4 linked regions of the Schizosaccharomyces pombe genome follow. The protein of the gene in region 2 binds, or shares a complex with, the protein of the main gene of each other region. Each region holds a gene or a part of one and is shown on either strand. Other genes may lie near its edges. The genes, in order: rtc6, mrpl20, mrpl32 and mrpl28.

Region 1 (4,255 bases), on a different chromosome or scaffold from region 2:
CTACCCCGATTCCACACATGGTACATGGTATTCCTTGGCTTCAAGATTTATATATATTTCCATCTCGTACAGTAGATGTGAATTTCGAAGGTCCGCCCCTTTCCCAGGAAAGATTGTATAGTATTTTTAGGACATATGGAAAACTAAGATCCGTGACCATTAATTCACCTACTTCTGCTACTTTGAGTTTTTCATCGCTAAGGTCCGCTACGTCAGCTTTAAACTGTATGCATGGTTTTGTTTATGGGAAAACAGAATTCCACATGCGATACAGACATATGAACCGCTTTGTCGCCTTCAAAGACTGGTTATTCTCTCATCCTCGTTTTACTATTCCTTTGGTTGCGGCGGCTATTACAGTTTTAACGGCTTCTTTATTCGATCCGATAAGAAAGTTCTTTGTCGAGACAAACATTGTACATGGTCAGAAGTTGAGAAATATCAATGTTGTTGGGTGGGTCAAAAAGAAAACTCGCGATATAGTTTTGAGTCCCTTTCACGAAAATGGTACAAATATAAAGGCACCGATTTGGACAACACGTGAAAAGGATTGTGAACAGTTGAAAGAATGGTTGGATGAAGCATTACATTCTTTTATTGTTGTTCAAGGTCCTCGTGGTAGTGGTAAGCGTGATCTGGTAGATCGAGTTGTTAAAGAACGAAAAAATGTTTTGTTTTTCGACTGTGATCGCTTATTCTCCACTACTAATACGGAAATGTTCGTAAGTACTCTTGCTAGCCAAACGGGGTATTTCCCCCTCTTTAGCTTCCTAAACAACATATCGTCACTTATCGATATGGCTGCACAAGGTCTCATAGGACAAAAAACGGGAATTGTTTCTTCTAGTGAAGGACAAGTGCGGCAAATTCTTAACACAACACAAACGGTATTGCGTTCTCTAGCATTACGAGAGCATAAAGAAGCCGATACTAGTGTGTTGGATGAATCTGAGTTTTTAGAAGTTCATGCAGATCGCTTACCTGTTGTTATTCTCGACAATTTCCAGCTTCGTAAATTATCAAACCCGATGCAGAGAGTGGTTGCTGAATGGGCTGGTAATTTGGTAAAGGAAGGAATTGCTCATGTACTAATGCTAACACCCGATGTTGGAGGCACCAAGTCATTAGAGCAATATGTCAACGGTTGGGAAAATAGAACATTGTTATTAGGAGATGCTGACCCTGTACTTGCTCAGCGATATGTCATAGAGTCTTTACCCGAAGAGATGCAAACAGAAGAATTGAGGAAAGAATTGCGGGTCCAATTACCGAAGATTGGTGGCCGACTTCGTGATCTTGATTATGTAGCTCGTAGGTTGCGGGTTAATTCTTCCAGTGTTTCTGAAGCAATTGGCGGTATTGTAAGTCAAAATGCCTCTGATATTTTGCAAACATTTTTACGGCCTGCTTCTTTAACCAGTGAGGAGAAGCCAACGTTCACTCCAGAAGAGTCATGGACCTTAATTACTTATTTATCTCAACATGAATATATACCCTATCATATGTTGATGCTTGACCCACTGTTCAAAGGACACGACGATGCCGTTCGTGCCTTGGAAGAATCAGAATTGATTACTATTACCACAGTGAATGCAAGACCGGATAAAGTCTACGCTGGAAAACCTGTATATGTTACGGCTTTCCGGCAACTTGTAAATGATCCAGTATTAAGTGCTAATATGCAGTTGGTGAGATGTAACGCGTTAATTGGCATGGCTAACAATGCTATCAAGAATGATGAACAGGAGCTACAAATGCTAAAGGACCTTGGGAACCTTGAATCAGGTGTGAAGGATCGTGCTCATTACTTAACGACGCGTATCCAGAAAAATCAAGGTGTTATTACTGATAATGAGAAAAGTATAGAAAGGCTTACTGAGGCTTTGAAAAAAATCGACTAAGATGCGAAAGCATATCATTTAAGATTACGTATGTTTTTATGAATTCTTTAGCATGAAGCTATAATGTCAACAATAATATCACATTTAATGACTACGCATTAACGAGAGAGAAGGGAGTAAGGATTTGGTAGGTAGTCCAAAAATCGTCGTAATATGAAGTGAGCGTAATGAAGAATTAGCCTAGGTAGAAAAAAAAAGAAGAAGCGAAACCGGTTATAGTCATTAACCTTGACGGGTTTTATGTCTCGGATGTTTTTTGCATAGTACATACAACCTACCTTTGCGACGCACAAAATAGCAGGATGAACAACGCTTTTTTACTGATGCTTTCACTTTGAAACCTCTTGAAAAGTTCCAAGGTAGAAGGCTAGGAGAAAGTCTGAAAGCAGGGGTTAAGAACATAGATGCATTTTTTAACAACCCTTTTTGTGCATTAAAAGCAGAAGGGAAGACTCGTGACAAAACACCCACAGCAAAAAATTTACGACCTAATGAAGCCATTATAAGTTAAAAAAAAAGTGAAACTGGGACTTCAAGTCAAGATGTTTAAATTTTTTTGGATCCGAAGTAATTCTGAGCTAAATAAATGATGTACGATGGAAAAGTGTTCACAATTTGGACTGAGCCAAAAAAGAACGATAATAGAAAATGCCTATCAACAAGAGAAGATTTTCATAAAAAAAAAAGGTGAATACTAAGTTATATAAACTCGCTTACGCCCGATTTGTTGGATATTCTTTGTTGGGAAAATAAATAGTAGTTAGTGCTTCTAGTAAGCTAACCTACGACATGTCAGTTAGTGACAACCAACATGTCTTGTTATTCTATAAATTCAATAGCCAGCTTACTGTGGAGCAATTTGACCTGAAATTTATCACATTATTTTAAAATAAGGAATACTTTTATTAAAGTGGAGTCAACTCAACAGTGTAGCTCCATTTTTTGTTTACAAATGAAAATTTTAATGTTGAGTCTCTGACCTTCTTAGTCCCTAAAATAGCTAATTGACCGCATCATCTAATAACTTTGATTCTACGTTATTTGGTTTGGCATGCTAATCGATTAATTTGAAATGATCAATTTTTGAGAATTTGTTTATGTTTTTAGTTGCTGGTATAACGAGTTCGTTATACTTTGCTAATTTGGGTATGGAACTGGAGTGCAGATGCGTCATTTGCCTTGGTAAAAGATTGTTAAAGGAAAATTTAGCAAATCCCACGAATTGGTGGATGTCTCAAAAACACCAAAATATTCAATCCAAAGGCTGAAAAATAGATTGCTATGCAGCAAAATGTTAAAGAGAAACATGCTGGCAAAAGTGACACATCAGTGAGTTCTTTGGAGTGTGAAATCGATTATCATATCGAAGGGTCAGATGGCATACCTGTTGTGGAACCAGTAAGTTTACGCGAAAAATATTAAATATTTTGTGGATGTTAACAAAATTTGTTTAGAAAATTTCAGAATTTGTAGATATGGAAAGTTTTATTCGGCGCGTTGAAAGGCTTGGCAAGAAATACGGCGCAATTAAAGTTGTTCGTCCTAGTTCTGTTTTAAATCCTTGGAACGAAGATACAATGAAACCTTCCGATGTAAAAATGGATTTATGGTTAGAGCGAATGGTGAGACGGAAAGGAGAGTACTTCGAGATTCAAAGCGATATAGACCATGGCTCGGCTGGTCCTAAAAAGCCTACCGATATGAATGTCGACGACAGGTTTCCTTCAAACGCTGGAAGTTCTAATGACTTTGAAAACAATGTGGCTAAAGCTATTGCATATTATTGGCGTTCTTTGACCCATGACAGTCTGTGGTATGGATATACTAATCGCCCATCGATCCCCTTCTATTTTATACCTTCGATATCTGCTGCTCAAAAAGATAGGGTACATTTAAGATCGAATACATTGATTAACACTTGGCCAAATGTTGGTCACTTATTTGCTGGGAAATGGAAAACTACCCTTCCTTGGCGGGTAGAATCTCCTGAGCTGCATGCAGTTCAGGTACATTTAGGTGGCTCTTCATTGCAATGGTATGTGATACCTTCAGCACATAGTGAGTCTTTTAAAAAATTAGCTGGAAAGCTTGCGCAAGATGAGCATTGGCGTTGTTCAGATTTTTTGCTTCACCAGAATATTTTGTTTCCCCCTTCAACTCTAGTACAAAATGGTATTGTTACTTATTCAACAGTCCTTAAACAGGATGAACTGCTTATAACCTTTCCAGGCACACATCATAGTGCATTTTGTCTAGGAGACGCTGTTTTACGACGTTTTGTCTTTCGTTCACCAAGATCTGCTTCCAACTATGAATTTTCTAATTTACGAAGACTTATGGTTTCAGAATCCCTT
Region 2 (7,129 bases):
TAGGAACATCTATGGCTCAAAATTCCCAAGGCCCTGTAGATGACTCTAGCTTGTCTCAATTGGAGAATTTGCTCCCACCTTTGCAAATTTTGACTGCTAGAGCCGCTATGGCTGCTATGAACATGTCGAATGATACATCCATGTCTGGAATGAACATGACCAACAGTACGACACCCATGTCTGGAATGAACATGACCAATAGTACAACATCCATGTCTGGAATGAACATGTCCAACAGCACAACATCCATGTCTGGCATGAATATGACTAATACCACTACAACCGCAAAGGCTTCTTCTTGTAAATTATCCATGTATTGGAACTGGTATACTATCGATGCTTGCTTTATTACCAAACATTGGCATATCACCAGTAAGCATATGTTTGTCGGTAGTATTTTCGGAATTATCTTCATGATGATGGCATTGGAATTGGTCCGTCGCGGACAAAGAGAGTTCGATCGTTGGTGTGTCCGTAGATTTTCTCCCGCTAGCAATTCCTGCTGTCATTCGGGTGCCCCTGTTCATTCTGGTCCAAGCATGGCCCTTCGAATCTTTCTTCATTTTCTTCGGTCCTGCTTTTATCTAGTCCAGTATATTGTCGCGTATATCGCAATGTTACTCGCAATGTATTATAATGGCTATGTAATTTTATTTCTCTTTTGTGGCACCTTCTTTGGCTATTTCCTGTTTGGTGCGGATACCATCTCTACTAAGGCCTCTTCATCTGTTCAAACGAAAACGATCGTTCAAGTCGCCGACGAAAAACACGAACATGATTCCAGTCAATATTCAGACACAACACCTACAACCGAATAGCTTGATTATCTCTAAATTTGGTTTAGTATTCCCAATTTCATGCACCTCACTCATTTTCAGTGCTGAAGCGTCTGATTAATCATAATCGTCTTCGCTTTAATTTCTTTCGCACAGTCACTGATAGTTTGGAAGAGGATTCTTTGATGAATGTTGAAGCCACATATTACATGTCCATGTTGGAAAGACAAAACAAATTCTGGTAATTTGTCTTAAGTTTTTACAAAGTAATAAAAGTTTCAACAAAAATAAATAGATGCCACAAGGTAACGCTTATCTTTGTTAGTTAAACATTCAAATTAGAGTATATAGCAATTTGAACAGATGTAATTCGTTCCTTTTTTTTTTTAACCATGATTGTTTGTTTTCGACTTTGAACCTGGAGGTTAATAAATATTTATTATTATAAAGACTGACATTAACACGATTCAGTACCTTTATGGTATCTTAAGGTGATCACTTTCTATATATTTTTAAATGAGTTTGTAATGACATGGTGCAACAGAACTACATAAGATATTCATCAATCACATTTTTGACGTTCAGAAACCATTTGTCGATATCTCGGAAGATTAATTCCAACAGCAGATCGTATTAACAAGACATCCACAATACCATCCTGCCGCTTTCTCCCAACAATGTTGAGCCACTCATGCTTTTGAATAGATACATCAGGTAAAACTACTGTAACATCACAAGTCACGCTGCTTGATCCATCAATCAACCGTAGAATGCCATTCTTATATGATTGCACGCATCCTAAAAATCGAAGTTTTTGGCCGTCCTTACAATCGTTAATTTGATTAATGAAGATAAGTTTAGCACTATCCATCAGCTGCTAAATATATTGTAAAAAGGAGAACAAGGAAAGATGAGGGAAGGTGGTATAGTTTGTGTTTGGAAACTGGGTAATCGATTGAAATATGAATTTCGTAAATGAGCGACTTAAGATCGCAGCTTTAATTAAGAAAACGTAGTTTGACTTTTTCAAAAGGAAAAATTTGCATTAATCCTTAAAATGTGCAGAAAGACTACACTCTCGTTTGCAATAGTAAAAGCAAAATCTAATAATCGTATAGTACTATCAGTGAGGCATATTAGATTGATAAATAGACCAACATTTCCATTATTATTATTTATGAATTGGTTTACTTGAGCAACTCCACAAAAAACGCAAGCATGGTTCTTTTGATTAGTTTTTATAAATTAAGTCAGATGGAATATAAAAAGAGAAAAATAAATGCTTTGGCCGGGAATCGAACCCGGGTCGAATCGATGGCAACGATTCATTATACCACTAAACCACCAAAGCTTCTTGAAATATCTTGTAAACTTGTATAATATAAGTAGCTATTAACGATAACGATAATTATTTATTATACCATTATAATATTGATTAAAATCAAGCAGAGAATTGGAAACATGTTCTGATGTAGTTGTTTAAGGCCTTATAAGAAATCAATAGTTCTTGTAATAAATTCCGATTTTAGTTATAGGGCCAATGCGGCTAATATTCACTTGATAAATTGAAGCTGACTGTAAACAAAAGGTTACCCCTTACTTAACCATTTGATATTATAATTTACATTGCAAAAAATTTGGGTCAGTTTGAAAAGGTGTGTACATTTCCTAAAAATCTATGGAAAATTGAAAAAAATAAAATAAATTTAATTTAATATTTAAAATATCATGCTTCCAGTATTCAATATAATCGGTATTTAAATTGAACCATGAACAGATTAGAAATGGTTTAAAAAAAAAACAGCAAAACAAAATTGTATTGAATTTATCCTACAATCAAAATGCCGTTAACAATATTTTTTAGCTTGAATCTTCCGATTTCTCTTAATAAACCGTCAAAGTGCCAAAAACCAGTTTTAATATAACGAATTATATAATATACATTTAAGGTGCCATAAACACACTGCATTATACGTATTGAAACTAAGAGTGTGGATACTGTGCATATAGAGACTGCTAAACTCCAGGAAACCCGCATTTGGAGAGTAATTTCGTGTTTTTACTCGGAAAATTGCAAGCCTTAATACGATTCTTGTAAATTCAAAAGTTAGAACTCTTCCAAGTGATTTTTTGCGTGTTTTTTTGCTGTTTATTTTTTTTTTGCATTGAGCTCTTTTGTCACGTCGTTGCTATAGCTTTTAGGCTTTGAGAATCTTCGTTATAACTAATATTATTTGAAGTGTGGGTTTATCCAAAAGGCCCTTTACAGTTTTTTGTGTTATAACCTTTTCTCAAAAAAATTTAAAGCATCATTTCTAAAGCGACACCAAAATTAAAATAGTTGAAAGAGTAAAAACATGTTGTTTACAATCAAACCTTCATTTTTGAAGCCTGTAGGCTTCATTCAGACTCGGAATTTGAACCGGCTATACCCTAAACAACGTATTCCTAAGCGACCTAAAATTCCTATGGGTTCCAAAATAGCAGAGGTAACTGAAACTACATCTGCTTATTACAATCCACCAGCGTCTTCTCCAGATGTTAGGATTACTCCTCCTGTTTTTCGCTATGATGCACCTCCAATTCATCAGCGTGATACCTCACTTTCCAAAGAGTCAATGTTTCTCCCGCCGGCAGTTAGCCGAAAATCGAAAAGCAAAGGAAAGTTGAGGTTTTCTACTCATCAACTGAGTAGTGAAGATATCAAATCCATCCAAGACTTGAGGACGAAAGATCCGAATGCTTGGACAACTGGAACACTGTCTAAAAAGTTTAACACAACTCGGTTACTAATTTCACGAGTTTGTGAAGCTCCCAAAGAAAGGATTCAAAAAGTTGAAGAAAATTTTGAGGCTGAAAAACTTGCCTGGGGATCAAAGAAGCGTGAAATTCGCCGACAACGTGCATCTCGTCAAGCATTCCGTACATTGGAACGAGTAGCACAGGTTTAAAATAATTTAATAGTTTTTGGGATTCTAAAACTCTGGTTTTCAATAAAGCTCTGATGCACATGCGGAAGCGTTTTTGACTGCATTATTTAATGTTTCAATCACGTTACAAAATACTCGAGTGATTTGAAAGTTCCTTGGAAAATAATATTAGTTTTGAAGCTTTTCAAAAAAAACAGACATCTTCATTCTTCTTTATTTCTTAATTTACAAAGGCTCTCTGGCATTTTACGAATTATCCTTTACATTTCTATCAACATTTACGCACATTGGTCTGCATATCGCGAATTTTTGTCGCAACCTTTAAAATGTTATTATACAGGCACGAACTTGTTTTACATTTTTACCTCTCCCTTCTCATGTACATATTTCCTTTTTGGAACAAATGAGGAAATTTTTCATTTCAGCTTAGTAGGCTCGGAAATCCTCAATCATAGAGTATGTTGCTTTTGTAACACTCAAGCCAGTTTTTTTTTTTTTTTGGTTTTATCTTTTAACTATTACTGAGAATATACAATGGTGTACATAATTAATTGGGTCAGCGAGCAGTAAAAAAACATCTTTATTTCCTCTTGTACAGAGAGCCCTTTCGTTCAAACCTCAAGTGGTGAAAATAAAGATATTTTTTCGGCTTTTAAGCAGTTGCTATTTAAGATTTCCAATCGACATCAACCGTTTATAAACACTCACGAGATACTTACTTTTGCAAGTTTCCTCACCAGCCATCATCCATCCATCTCCTTAGGACAATTTGCATTCTACGGATTTCATTAATACATCCATCTCTAGCTACTATTTACTTATATTAAAGCTTTGTTTCGCCGTTTTCTACTTTTTTGAAGCTTGTGTGACTATACGTGCTCTTCTTTGTTGGCCCAATTTTCCAACGATCGTCTAAAGAAACATGCGACCTAGTTGAGGAATTTTGCTTTAAGACATTGTTTTTACAGACTCTAACAAGCTTAATTTGTATGGTGGACACAGCTTTGTTGTAATACTGCATACTGCGATTCTCAAATCCTACACTCCTCTCTCCTCTTCTCTCCTTGTTACTTAGTACCTCGAGAAGTTTTGGGGTGACATCAGTCAGACACAAGAATTATATGATGGGTGGGTGGGTTAATACGTATATGAATGATCTCATTTACGTTGCCGTATTGTGCTACTAAAAGTGTTATATATAGAGCAGTGGGAAGTAGAAGTGAGCACTCTTATTAACGATAAAGTTGTGAGTTGAACAAAAGCGACTTACTACTTTGAAATATTGTTTTACTTTACAATTGAACATTTACTAGTGTTCAGGAAAAATCTAATTTTTTTTCGTGCGCTCGATTGAATATTATATCAATCCTTTGTGTTGTACGGAGAAAACCGCTTTTATATAACCTTTCGATTTATTAATTTTTTTTTACTCGGTTAATTCACGAAATCCTAATCGAGCATCATGAATAGGCGTGTTACTCTTGGAGCCTTGGCCGCTGCTGTTGGTGTTGGTTATTATATGACTCGCCATAATCGTCAGGCATCTTCCAGATTGGAACAGAAGAATGCAGAAATCGTCAGAGCCGTGGAAAATGAGGGTCAACGATTTGACAAAGCTGTTGGCGAAACCACTGAAAAGGCAAAATCTTATCTCCAAAGTGGGAAGGAGAGGGTTGTCGATGAACTCGACAAACCTCGTGAAAACGTAAAAAATGTGTTGTCAGAGGCGCAAGCCAAGGGTACTGAACAAGCAGAAGCCCTTAAAAAGGGTACCTCAAAATGGTTTTAAATTGGAAATCCCCAATTCTCGCCATTTAGGGTTATGTGGCAATACTTTGAAAAAATACACACAGGGTTTGTTGTGTATTTGAAAACGTAAAGTGCCTAGCATTGGCTCGTTCTATACCTGCTATCCATTAAGTGTTCTTGTTAATTGTTCCAAACGTATTGCCAAACATTCCGGATCACATCTCGGCAAAGTCGGAGAGATTAAACGTTGTTAACGTTATTCTTTTTTATGTTATTATTAGTTTCTTCTCTCATAAACCAACTGAACCCAAATGATTAGCGATGACAAACAAACGACGATTCCATGGGTTGTCAAAAACACCCTCATAGAAGTTTGCTTTTTTTTGTACAGATAAAAGCGAATTTTTAATTGAAATAATGTTTTTCATGAACGCATAAATGAATGATTGAAATTTTTACATGCATGATTTTCCATTATAGACTGTAAAATGATATTTAAAGTAAGCGATGTGGACTAAGAGTAGTGATAATGCATATGAATACATGCATAGTTTGGATATTATAGGTTTTTCCTAGTTTCCATTATTAAAAAAATAAAAGATTGAAAGGAGTGTTTTGCTTTAATCTGCTCTAGTAGACAGAGTCAAAATTGATATATTTAATAATATTCAAGATGAAGAGATAGAACTCATCAAGTTCGCTTAGATATAACCTTAGCTTACGCGAAAGATGAGAATACTGTAATGCATAGTTTTTTGTTAATTTGAGACAACGAGAGGTATGGAAAATGCCCCTCAGGTGAATTCTCTAAATAAGCTAAAAAGTCAAACGCAAAAAAATGCATTATGCCGGTTTATAGAAGATAAACTTTTTTTTGCTGACAAATATTACGATGGAATTGTCGTTTTGACATTTCTTAGCCGTCGTACCTAATGCTTCTGACTGCTAATCAAGCTCTAAAAAAGCGCAGTTCGTTATACTTCTCTATCCCGTTTTCACCTTCATGACAAGTCCTGCGTATGTATGCATTCTACCATCTTCCATTATTCGCACTTGGGCGTACTCAGCTAAGCTGGTTTTGGCGTATTCATAAACGTGTCTATCCTTCAACAGGAAAATAGGTACCTGAAGAAAATAAGATGGGTCTCAAATTACTTCATCCTCCTAAACGTATGTAACGGTTTAGCTAGACATATAAACAAACTTGAGGATTCTTAGTTGGATGCTCGAGCATCGTATAGGTAGATTAAAACCGCAAAATAACTAACTTTATACAGCTTATGCGATGACCAGTGACCCTGAGTCGTATGCTTCGGTATGTGTCATGAAAAAATGGCCTATTATAGCTACGAATGTGATTGACGAGGTTTCTCGAAACATATCAAAGGCATTGGAGGCGGGAATGTCCGATAAAGCTGCTTATGTTACTCAAGGAAAGGAAATAATCAGCCTTCTTAATCAACTCAAATATGATCTTCAACACAATCGCCCTCTGAAGCCGCTTGTCGGTCAAGGGCCTGATATTGATGACTATAATGAGGAGTTGGAACAAGTTGGTCCATTGACTTGGGGCGATGCTCCCTGGCTTTATGCTGGATGCTATTTTTATCGTATCATGAGTCTTTTCTTTCAAGCCCGTTCTGAGTGGAATCGCCATGACCCCTTCTTTGAACA
Region 3 (6,017 bases), on a different chromosome or scaffold from region 2:
CGTGATTGATGCGAAAACGAGGAGGTATGAGCCAGTGAAACGTCAAGACACTCTTGCTTCAAATCATGTCCCTTCTGCACCCTCGAATGAATCTGTATCTTCTGCGGCTCCATCCAAAATCCCTGTTCCAGAAGAAGCTAGTATTAATGAACACTCTAATATTACAGATGAGGCCGTTTCACTGCCTGAACCTGTTTACCCTAATGCTCCAACTAGCGCTGTATCTGTGCATAACCCCACGATTTCTGATGAAGCTGAACCAACTGAAAGGGCATTTCTGAAGAAAGAAAAACCTCAAATATCAAAGGAGAAGAAAAACCCTAATGTCACTCATGAGGAATTTGTTGAAAAATCTACGGCATTGCCAAGACATATCAATAAAGTAGAAATCGTCAGCGATTCAAGTGAAAGTTTTGCCCACAAAAATAATGAAAAACGTTTTGACAAAGAAGCTTCTGGTCGTATCAACGACCTTCGCGCAGAGCAACAGCAAATTATGCTCGAAGCTCGCCAGAAAGCAATTGAAAGGCGGAGGAATGAAGAAGAAGAACTTGCTCGATCACGAGAACGAGCCCGTAAAAAAGCTGAAGAAATAAAGATATCATCATCAAAGATGAATTCCTCACCCACTATTACTAATGAGCGGTCTTCCAATGTCGAGTCTAGCAAAAAAGTTGAAGCAATATACACTAAAGAGCCTCAGTCTATTACCAATAGTCCCGAAGGACTACATAGTAACCAAGAGACAACAGAAATTGATCCTTCTAGCCCCAGAGATGATTCTACTCCGCTTTCATGGAGAAGTCATAGTCATCCAATTCCTCCTGTTCAAGTCTCGCCTTTATTTACGTCGGATAAAAATGATCCTTTACAGTTGAATCCCCAATCTGATGATAGTACTTCTTCCCCGAAACATGGAAAGTCTCGGAGTATTGATGAAGTTATTTTAAGTATAAAGGATGTCATTTTTGACAATAACTTATATAAACAGAGATCCTATCAAAGTGGGGTGGCCGCAAATGCTCATTTACCCCATCGTGTCCCCAACGAACATGGAGGAGTTTCACGCATTGGCAATTCTAATGCTCTCGGTCAACCTGTTTCTTCATCCTCTTCTTACAGCCACTCCAAAGGTCGTGATACCAGAAGTAGTAGTTATGTAGTATCCTCGGAAACGAGCTCTTTAAAATCATCGAGATTGATACTTAGTCATGCAAATTCTGTTCGAATTCAGCGATCGAAGGGCGATGTTATTTTGAATTTACATTTGCCTAAAGTGAACCCGGAGCGGTTTCTTCCTACTAAATCATTAAAATTAGAGGAAATGAAACCATTAGAGGAGAAGGTTCCTATATACCGCTCATCTTCCAAACAACCCCTTCGAATTCATCCTACTCATCCACTGCGTGTAACTGTTTGTCTTCCAGGTAGCAAGACAATTCAAGTGGCTCGTCGCTCTTTTCGTAATTCAATGAACGCTAATCGTTATGATCCTCAACGCCGAGAACGAATTGATTCCGGTTTATGGAGGGCGAAAAACTAGCTTGGTTTTTTCTTATTGTTATCGTTTATGTATACTTTACATGAGATTATAGTCTCTTTTGTGTTTTCGATGCATTTAATATTATTTACACGCTTACAACATAAACGTGTATTGAAAAAGGATGAAAGCTAAGAGATATATTCAGCTTTTTTGTTATTTTTTCACTCTAAATTCTTTTGCATAATATATGATATTTATACTCAACCGTACATAGTCAACAAATAAAATTAAGTAAAAAAATTCTTTGTTATACGCGTATTTTTAAAAAGGGTGTAGTTCATTAATCGTAATACTGAAAAAATTTAAGTAGTGCGAGCAGATTCAATTCACTAACTGCAATACTATTACATGAAACAACCTTATATTTAATGTTAAGTCCATTTTTTTTCTTAAAATAAAGATTTGCAGCATCACTAAATCAGTGAAGAAATGCTTAATGCCCTTCATTCGTTAAATTCTCGACGAATATTTCTAAAACAGTGAGAACATAAATGATGTGCCAATTTAAAAGACCCGCAAATAGGACAACGATTAACTGTTTTGTCTTTTAATGCTTTTCCGGACAGTAAGCGACTTCGTTTCTTAGTATAAGAAGTTTTTTTCTTTGGAACAGCAAGCAAAATGGAATTCCATATATTAGCTATTGAAGGGGGGGAAATAAATATCCTCAAAGAAATATGAGGAAGGGCGCTAGCTTGAAAAACTGATAACATTTTTTGGCTAATTGCCAAAGAATTTCCTCTTAAAAGAGCCATTTTCGACCCAAGCGCGAACAGTAGAATATTGTTGGGTACAGTAATGCTGAACAATATTTTAAAAGTTTTCTCAAGGTAAGGCGAACTTAGTTACTGCAGAACTTGATCTTAATTATATAGTTATAAAACGATGCATATAGCCGTTTTCTAAAACCAGTAGACCCAATCACAGATAGATTTACGATCTCCGAGAAAAGAGTTTGAAATAATTGGAAGTCGTCAAAAGGAAACTTAAAGACCAGTTACTTTGGTTTCGAGACAATGCTTAAGAAGTAGGCTGCTGCCTAAATCTATAGTCTGCTGTTGAGTAGTAATAACCCATGTATAACGAGACTCCTCAAATTCACTATTGCTTTGGCTTGACATTTAAATGCTAAGTGCGCTCTCTCTTTATTAAGTCTCGCAGTTTAATGTTGACAATTTTCTTAAGCTCATGAACTACGCTACAATCATAGTCCATTTAATTATTTGAAGTTTTCTACGTATTTGTACTAATTTTAGTAGATCAAAAATTTTGTGAAATATTCCAGCAGGCGTTTCACTTTGAGATTCCACATAATTGAAATTGAAACATCGCTTTAAAAGATTCAAACCTATTTTGACTGATTCAAGATCAATCTCAGAATCATGTACTTACATTTTGAATACTTTGATAAGTTAGTCTTCCTTTTAGTTTTTTTATAATGCATTGCGAATATTAAAAAGTTGAGACTTTTAGAAAGAAGCATTGTCTCATTTATTATAAAAATTATCCAAGTGTCACTGAGATCATTCTTGGCAGTAAGAAAAAAACAAAAAAAAAGGAACAGATAAGTAAAGTATGCACTAGAAAAAGGAATTAAAGTAAAGCAAAAAAGTAGTTAAAATGTACTCTGTTTGAATCTGCCCAACCTGCGGATATGGATTTTAGTGGAGGAGGCAAAAAAATAAACTCAGGTACATATATTCTAACGAACTGCAAAAGCATATTAACGATAAATAAACAATGTGAGAAGAAACAGTTTTTAAGCAAACGTTGGAGGATATTCCGAAACTTCTAACAGCAGATGTTTACTCAAAAACTTTTTTGACAAGTTAGCCTATTTACCAGAATGATGTATGGATTTTATCAAAGGGATAAGGGATGAAACTGGAACGGCTTGCTTAAGAAACGGATGCCTTAAAAGCTCACCGGAGCTAGGGCGTTGCTTAGGATTAACAGTTAAAGATTTAGAAAGAAAATCATGGAAAACAGAACTTAACAATTCTGGCCGACTAATCTTTGGAGTACCAATAGTAGCAATTAAATATAGAGCACGTAAAGGATTTTCGTTTAAATACGGGGGCTCTCCCTCTACCATCTCTATAGCCATAATACCAAGACTCCAGACATCAACTTTGAAACCATATTCCTTTCTAGTAACGACTTCTGGAGCCATCCAATATGGAGTACCAACCATCGTCGTTCGTTTCGTCATGTTACTGTCGATCTGAGCACAAAACCCAAAATCGGTAAGTTTAATATCTCCTTGAAGTGAGAGAAGGATATTGTCTGATTTTATGTCACGGTGAACAATGCCATTTTCATGGAGATGCTGTAAGCCTTCCAACGTTTCCTTACATATTGCAGCTATCTGACCTTCTGAAAGAGTGTTATTGGTAACCACTTCAGTAAGACTGCCACCGCGCATGTATTCCATTACCATCCACAACTCTGATTTATAGAAGAAAGTGTCAATAAAATTGACAATGTTTTTGTGATGATGTGACTTCATCACGAGTATTTCATTGACAATAAATTCCTTTTTTGGCTGTTGATTAATGTTCATTTTCTTGATGGCAACAGAAAGATTAGTGCCGACTTGGCGAGCAGAATACACATCACCAGAAGCACCTTGACCAATTTTAACAAAATTTCGATATAAAAGTGTTGGATTTTTGGGATTGCATATAGACTGTAACTTTGCCAATACAGCAGAATCATTGGATTGTTGTCGAGGTGCACGCTTTTGAAGTCGAGGGGCACTTGGTGCTTCCACTTTTTGAGGAGTCGCAACAGCTTTCGGTTTGGTGCTAGTCTCGGCTCTCCGTTGATATGGTGTCGAGTTATTCGGACGGATATGTTTCGTTTCAGATGTACTTAAGGTTTGAGGCGTTAACAAAACAGGGGAATGACTTCGGATTATATTATCGGTTGACTTGCTGGAAACTAATGGAGAAGGTTGTCGAGAAGCATTAGAGGTAGTAGTTTTAACTGTTTGTGATGATAATAAAGGAGACGATGAAGAACTTGCAGGAGGCGTGGGAGCAGGTCGAGAAGGATACAAACGAGAAGATGAGCTTGTAGCAGAGGTGGGTTGAAGATGAGAACTACTAGACAACGCTGAAACGGAGAGTAAAGGCTTCTCAGTACTTTCACGGGGAAAGGGTGGCTTTGCTCCCTCCTCAAGATATTTCTTGGATTGGGAATAAAAAGCCATAGCGTCCAAAACGGCCTGTGGATGTTGTACTTGTTCCGACTTTGTAATGCCACTGACTTTTAGTAGTGCCTGCCATTCAGTAGGCATTCCAGTAAATTCCCCAGTATCATAATTAAAACCAACGTGAGTGACATGCTTCGGATCAAATGGAGAAGAGATGACAGTCGATTTGCGAGGGCTGGCAGAGCCTGACCCATAGGAACTTGTAGGACTGCTACCACCCCCAGTTAAGAACGAACTCATGCTCGAGACAAAGTTTTCAAACGCAGACTTCTTTTGGTTCCTTTCATCATATGAACGCACATCAGAAACATTAGTCTGAAGTTTTCTAATGGAACTGCTACTATGCTGACGAGAACCAAGTGAAACCCTAGATACAGTTGTACGGGATTGAGATAAAGGGAAACCGGAAAAGGTGTCTTCAGCAAGATTAGTATTTATAGCTGGAGGCTTTGGAGCTGTCCTGCTGGGCTTCAGTTTTCTCAAATCATCTTCTACTTCATAACGTACAGGTTCACCAGTTTTATGAGCAACAATAGGGGTTATTCCATAGCCATTTGGAGCCTTCTTTCGAGGTTGTAAAGTCCCTCTTTCCATAGTAAATAAATTTATTAACGAAAAGGGTAAAGAAAAACAGAAATAGGACTATGGCAAATGTGTTGCAGAACGAAGGAATAAGTTTCAGTATGCAAAAAAAAAACAAAAAGACAAGAATAGAGCACTTAAGTTGAAAAGGATTTTTCTCCTAGTAAGAGGCGCAAAGGGCACAGTAACTTGTGCCGCTGCCACTTTTATGAGGAATCAGTTGTACAGATTAACAACCGAAAAGGAAACTTTTGAAATAGATCCTTTTCAAAAAGAAAAGAATATCAAAGAATCTACTCAATTGACTAAATCTCTATAAATGATAAACTAGAACACGAAGGTCGCGTCAGCACTGTTTACTTGGATAATTTTCTTGATAGTTTAATGTATAGTTCTAAATTAAACAAAACTTATAAGACTTCGGTGGTATACTCGCTGGCGCATAAAGAAGTATAAAGTAGGTTACTGGGTTGTTGGTGAAGATCAAGTTCTAAGCGTAGGGTTGAATGCTACTATCACTTCAGTAGCAAGTTTTGATTCAATATTCACCAGCAAGCATATTATCTTATATTAATTTCACTAATCAGTTAGGATTTATAAAAAAGATCTTTTTGTTATAAAGTCTTAAATCAGTGAATTTGAAAAAGCAAGTTCTTTTTGGAATTCGCCTTTAAC
Region 4 (5,972 bases), on a different chromosome or scaffold from region 2:
GAAGGTTTCAAGGCTCGTAACCTTCCTATTAGAATCGAGGCTGTCATCAACGATACCGTCGGTACTCTCGTTACCCGTGCTTATACTTCAAAGGAGAGCGACACCTTTATGGGTATCATTTTCGGAACCGGTACCAACGGTGCTTACGTCGAGCAAATGAACCAAATTCCCAAGCTTGCTGGCAAGTGTACTGGTGATCATATGCTTATCAACATGGAATGGGGAGCAACTGATTTCTCTTGCCTTCACTCCACTCGTTATGATTTACTTCTTGATCATGATACTCCCAATGCTGGTCGTCAAATCTTTGAGAAGCGCGTTGGTGGTATGTATCTCGGTGAGCTTTTCCGCCGTGCCTTATTCCACTTGATCAAGGTTTACAACTTCAACGAAGGTATTTTCCCTCCTTCCATTACTGATGCTTGGTCTTTGGAAACTTCTGTTCTTTCCAGAATGATGGTTGAACGTTCTGCTGAGAATGTTCGTAACGTTCTTAGTACATTCAAGTTCCGTTTCCGCAGCGACGAAGAGGCTTTGTACCTTTGGGATGCTGCTCATGCAATTGGCCGTCGTGCTGCTCGTATGTCTGCCGTTCCCATTGCTTCTTTGTATCTTTCTACCGGCCGCGCTGGTAAGAAGAGTGATGTTGGTGTTGATGGTTCTTTAGTCGAACACTATCCTCACTTTGTTGACATGCTCCGTGAAGCCTTGCGTGAGCTTATCGGTGATAACGAAAAATTGATTTCCATTGGTATTGCCAAGGATGGCAGTGGTATTGGTGCCGCTCTTTGCGCCCTCCAAGCTGTTAAGGAAAAGAAAGGCTTGGCCTAAATCATGTTAGATGTCTGTTAGCTTTTTTTGAATTGTACGTAGAAATGAGCATGTAAATATGAAATTGCTTTTTAACAGCTTTTAGTTAAGATGTTTTTTTTGAAAGTGAATTTATTTCCTGGAATTAGTTAATAGTATGAAGATTGAATATCAGATGAATTAAAAAGCATGTTGTGATTGATGTTATATGTCTCTTTAAAACAAAATTGTGGTTGTGTATTGTTATTAAATTTGTTACGATTTTGTTAACATTCCAAAAAAGAGTACGGAATTTACAAACATTACAGGACATCTCAAAGATGTGTGTGTAAATTGATTCTAACAAAAAGAAATTTGATTTTTTTTAATCTGAGTTTGTAAAAAATAAGATTCATCATACCCTATTATCTCAAATTTATGAATTATTCGGGTTCAAGATAAAATCTTCTTTTTCTTTCAAGAAATCCAATTAACCAAGATTTGTTAAAAAATATTTTTCTCATCGTTTAGTAAATTTTTCTGCAACGTTGAACGGTGAAGTTGTGCTAGCAATACTGCATACTATATAAATAAGAACCGGAAAGCGTTTTCCAACACCCAAAAGGTGTTTTTTATACTTTATTCAAGAGTTAAAAATTAAATAGCACGGTAGTAAAACCAAATTGAACAAATTAAAAATTGAAAGCGTCTCAAGTTTAAAATTTATTTAAAGAGCTTATATCAAAAAAGTAGAAAACTTTCCAAAAGGATTTCTCAAAAGAAAATCCTCCTCATTTTAATAAATCATTGTTTAGATAGATTTGGTTAAATTTTAACCAAAAGGATTATCTATTTGCTAATTTTTTAGATAACTGGAAATTGCCTAATTACACAATCTTTTTTACCTTTTTTTGATGATTGTATGTTTAAAGGGGATGTAGTTCAACTAAAAAATTGCTTATTAAACATGCAAGAGTAAATGATTATTGAATATGTATAGTTGCAACAAGAAGCAAGGTTGCGAGAAATGACAAATGGGTTGACTCAACTTTTTTCTCATTTAAATTTTTGTTTCAGTCATTTTAATAAGGTCCTTGTGAATCGATATCAAAAGAGGAGGTGGAATAATTATAAAGATAACGTTTCTGAATATCATGGTTTTCGAAAAAGAAAGTCTTTGAGGTCATGAAGTTTAGGCTGCTTTCGGTTTTTTTACTCCATACTTGCTTCGGGATGTGACACGTCCCGCTACACCAGCAATGTCATAGACACCCCGAACAACATGATATTGGACTCCTGGACAATCCTGTGCTCTGCCGCCTCTTAACAATACCACAGCATGCTCCTGTGCATTATGACCGATACCTGGAATGTAAGCAGTAACAGAACGGCCGGTTGAAAGGCGTACACGGGCAACCTTTCTTACTGCCGAATTAGGTTTTTTGGGTTTTACTGTAAAGACCCTCGTGCACACACCCCGTCGAAACGGACTTCCCTCTAAAGCAACAGATTGCTTATTTGTTTTTTCAGGACGTTTCTCTTTATTTCTTATCGTTTGATTTAATGTCTTTAACATAACTGAAGAGCTAGAAAACGCTTGAGCCTGAAATGGTGAAATAACTGTTGGCTTCATCAACCTTGAAATTACCGGATATCGAGCATATTGAGCAAAACGGATCATTATTTGGGGAAATTTAATATTTGAGCTGTATAAAATCTCAAAAATCACTATAATAGATGCTTGAGCAAGGAATTCCGAAGTTTGTACCCGAACGTCGCTGGTTTGGTGTTAGTGTATGTATATTGCCTTGGAATAGAATATCTCGCAGCATTCATATTATTCGATGGGATACAAAAATTTATTCTTTTATATTTTGACAAACATTTTTGGGTATAACTAGCGTATTAAATATTTTTTCCTCTAGGAATTGAACTTTAATGGACTAGTCTAAAACAGATGCAGAATGTAGGTATGCTAATCGACAAATTTACAGTACAGTGTTAAGCTGAAAAAATCAACTTAATTCATGACTTCTACTGAAAAACGTACTGGAAGTAGATTGTATTGAGGTTTAAGCTTCGTTTTGCCATGCCATTTTCAGTTGATGATAGTATTTATTACAATAACTTATCCATTCATTAAAACTTTAAACACTGATATGGATTTATCAATGTGTTTGACTACTTACATGAAACTTAGCAGAAAAATTGAGCATCAGGCCTACTCCATATAAAGCTTTGACTTAAAACTTAATATTTTCTACTTGTTAAATGTCTTCGTTTGGTTACATATCTCCATAAATGCATATGCTTTGTTTGGCTTAGCTACTGAAAATTCAGAAACAATTAAATGAACTCCGAATTATAATCTATATTTTTTTTATCAGTGTGTGAAATTGAAGGGGATTTGATGAAACACTTCTTTTTTTGAAATATCGTACTGGTGGCTTTTCCTAGTGTATCACGACTTACTCTCTTAATTAGCTTCATACCACTGAACACGTTTACTACTACCGCATTTTTCTCTACTCAGGTTTTTTAGCTTTTAAAGGAAGGTTTTATGTTAATACTTTTGAAAATTAAATTTTTTTCTATCAACGTGAAAAAATTCAAGGAGTACTTTAGTTTGTGTTGAAAAGTTTTTTGGCAGATGCGTTCTACGTTACAATTAATGGCTAAGGCCTCAAAGGGAAAGCACCAATCTGGTCCTTCTAATCATAGTGAGTCAATCGATTTGGTTAGAAAAGCTCTTTACGGAAATAAAAAAGTCAGGTCTTTGAAAATGAATCCAGACATGTGGGAAAAACACGAAGTTATTAATCGCGCTTGGCGTATACACGAATATCGACAAGAAAAACAAAGAGAGAATCTTCTAAAAAACCAATTCTCTGCAATGAAAATTGCTTGCGAGGAACTGAAGCATACGAGTGAAACATTATATAAAGCCGCAATGAGCGATTCAATTAACAGGAGGTTCCCCGTAGAAACGAGGACTCCTACGGACACACCACCACGGCTTTCTAAATAGGCGAGCGCCTTTTATGAGTATAATTAATATCTTCGGTAGTGCTCGAAAGTGTTATAGACAAGTTCAAGTATATAAAAAAATGTATCACTAATTACGAGCAAGTATAATCTAATTAGGATTTTTAAATAAACCAATAATTGAATTAAAGAATTATGTCTCCTAGTTTCTAGTCTACATGTATCATATTATTCATTCCCAATTTCACCGTAAACGAATGATACAAAATGAAAGGCCATGCTTTCTTTTTTAACCAAAAATTTAGAATTGTTACCAAACCCAAACCCTACCTCGAAAACAATAAAATATGACCCAAACACTGTTTTCTTTTTACAACGTGTCGCAGATGAGACAAAATGTCTTTAAAGCCAGAATTTACGTCTATCTGATTCTTCACCGGCATTGCTCTCGAAGAAAACCTCCCCTTCTTTCCTATCCCATACTCCTTTTTGAACCATACGAAGACGCATGGTAAATCGAGGACCTAATTCTTGTAGCCCAGTTCCAATACCATCTGGCATATTCGATTTTTCACGAAATGCATAACGGTGTCTTCGAAAAAAAAGAAAATCTCTTTGACAATGGATGGTAACAACTTGTCGCCCTTGAATTTGAGGCGTTTGAATAAATAATGATTGAAAGGCTCGAGCAACAGTCATACCAAGTCTCGTTGAGAAATTGTTGATTATCAGTTCTGGAATATGACCAGTGGAGCGGCCATGATTTGAAATTTCCTTTGCTGTTTGGAGATTCGATAAGGTAAAATAGAACGAAGGGCCATTCGGTAAGTGTACAAGGGTTAATGCATTTGTTTTTTTACGATCCTCATTTAATACCAGTAAATCGGTGTAACCACGCTTAGCAGCGGCTTCTGCGATTTCATGAACTTCAATATCTCCGGTTCTTTTTCGAAATTCAGCATTAGGAAAACAATCTAAAAGCTCAGATGCAAAATCATAGCATTTTCTAGAGGCTCGTTTACTCGTGGTTACCAAAAGTTTCGGAACTTTCCTTTCTTCACTAAAGTATGCAGAAAACTCATCATCTTTTAACTCCGCCTGAAGTTCCTCATCGGGTTTATCCTCTATGATAGTTTCATCATAAACTCGTTTCGATTCAATAGTAGCGGGAATATTTTCTGAAAGTCGCAATCTCTTCTTTTCCGGGTCTTTTTCTTCTTCTTTAGCACGTTCTTTTCTTCTTTCAAGCTTGTCCTTATTTTTTTGATGAAGAGCCTTCATATACTGCTGTTGGCGGACAATTTTGTTTTTAATCTTCCCCATTTTAATAAGTTGCGTATAATCTCTCAAAATTTAAAATTTAAGAATGAAATAATTTAAATCCTTACAAAAAATTGCAACTAAAAAAAATTGAGATAAGAATGAGCAACTTAAGTACAAATAAAAGAGAGTTAAAAAAAAGTATACGATGGGTTTGAAGTCTCAAAAACTTATTGCACAATCCAATTCCATGTCGCAAAATACCGAATCTGAAGAACATGCTACGAATTTCGTCAAATTTGCTTAAAAGTATTAACGCAGTATTATATCACACTGCTGTTAAGCAAAATGTATACTTTAGTTACAATTACTGTTTGTAAATAGGTGATATTACAATCCGAAATCGTACACTATAGATATCCTCATCATTAAATTGTTGAACAACTGAAAGCATTGTGGTAAGGGTTCAACATTCTACAAATCACTCACGCTACTTTCATTTTCACATTTGAATGCGTGCTTTGAATGGAACTAGCAGAAATGAAAGGGACGATAGTCTTTTAATTTCATTTCTTTACTTTCTTTTTACTTTCTTCTGAACTGAATTGCTATATTGATAAATTAAATAATGTTCTGGATAACCAGAACGAATCAGAACGTGTCTTTTAATAGCAAAATTTTTCAAAACCAAAAGCCAATGAACAATGTAAGCAAAAAGGAGGAGGAAAACAGATTAGGGAATTCATATAGAGCGTATTTTCAGAAAGGTTATTTGTATACCTTTTTAAGTCCTAGCCTCGCTCATGTCGAGTACTTGAACCATACCTCGGTTTTTGGTCTCATTTCGGACAAGTTCATCTATCAACTTATAATTCCCTGGAATCACGAGAGCTATGCACTCATATTCATCATCAATGTTTTCTTCTTCAATTTCATCA

Evidence for each region.
Region 1: mrpl20 (region 2) and rtc6 share a complex: the UniProt entries of both Schizosaccharomyces pombe proteins name them as parts of the mitochondrial large ribosomal subunit.
Region 3: mrpl20 (region 2) and mrpl32 share a complex: the UniProt entries of both Schizosaccharomyces pombe proteins name them as parts of the mitochondrial large ribosomal subunit.
Region 4: mrpl20 (region 2) and mrpl28 share a complex: the UniProt entries of both Schizosaccharomyces pombe proteins name them as parts of the mitochondrial large ribosomal subunit.

Annotation. Positions count from the first base shown.
Region 1 is NC_003423.3:1,518,089-1,522,343, forward strand, and holds rtc6 (mitochondrial 54S ribosomal protein bL36m), read right to left. Parts: upstream 2,403-4,255; coding exon 2,124-2,402; 3' UTR 1,942-2,123; downstream 1-1,941. Other genes in the region: RNA-binding protein Yme2, read left to right, coding at 1-1,901; Lid2 complex histone demethylase H3-K36 subunit Jmj3, read left to right, coding at 3,183-3,299, 3,356-4,255. UniProt on the Schizosaccharomyces pombe protein: Component of the mitochondrial ribosome (mitoribosome), a dedicated translation machinery responsible for the synthesis of mitochondrial genome-encoded proteins, including at least some of the essential transmembrane subunits of the mitochondrial respiratory chain.
Region 2 is NC_003421.2:818,511-825,639, forward strand, and holds mrpl20 (mitochondrial 54S ribosomal protein mL58), read left to right. Parts: upstream 1-2,784; 5' UTR 2,785-3,133; coding exon 3,134-3,727; 3' UTR 3,728-4,967; downstream 4,968-7,129. Other genes in the region: Cu(2+) transporter complex subunit Ctr4, read left to right, coding at 1-818; telomere cap complex subunit Ten1, read right to left, coding at 1,339-1,647; SPOM_SPCC1393.12 (uncharacterized protein), read left to right, coding at 5,169-5,495; duf89 (cobalt/nickel-dependent phosphatase), read left to right, coding at 6,595-6,625, 6,733-7,129. UniProt on the Schizosaccharomyces pombe protein: Component of the mitochondrial ribosome (mitoribosome), a dedicated translation machinery responsible for the synthesis of mitochondrial genome-encoded proteins, including at least some of the essential transmembrane subunits of the mitochondrial respiratory chain.
Region 3 is NC_003423.3:3,904,419-3,910,435, reverse strand, and holds mrpl32 (mitochondrial 54S ribosomal protein bL32m), read right to left. Parts: upstream 2,585-6,017; 5' UTR 2,299-2,584; coding exon 1,987-2,298; 3' UTR 1,705-1,986; downstream 1-1,704. Other genes in the region: SPOM_SPBC1604.12 (uncharacterized protein), read left to right, coding at 1-1,543; PAK-like kinase Shk1, read right to left, coding at 3,378-5,354. UniProt on the Schizosaccharomyces pombe protein: Component of the mitochondrial ribosome (mitoribosome), a dedicated translation machinery responsible for the synthesis of mitochondrial genome-encoded proteins, including at least some of the essential transmembrane subunits of the mitochondrial respiratory chain.
Region 4 is NC_003424.3:2,666,353-2,672,324, forward strand, and holds mrpl28 (mitochondrial 54S ribosomal protein mL40), read left to right. Parts: upstream 1-3,298; 5' UTR 3,299-3,460; coding exon 3,461-3,817; 3' UTR 3,818-4,016; downstream 4,017-5,972. Other genes in the region: hxk2 (hexokinase 2), read left to right, coding at 1-831; mrps12 (mitochondrial 37S ribosomal protein uS12m), read right to left, coding at 1,982-2,470; Brix domain-containing protein Rpf1, read right to left, coding at 4,177-5,097; SBDS family ribosome maturation protein Sdo1, read right to left, coding at 5,819-5,972. UniProt on the Schizosaccharomyces pombe protein: Involved in mitochondrial genome encoded proteins translation.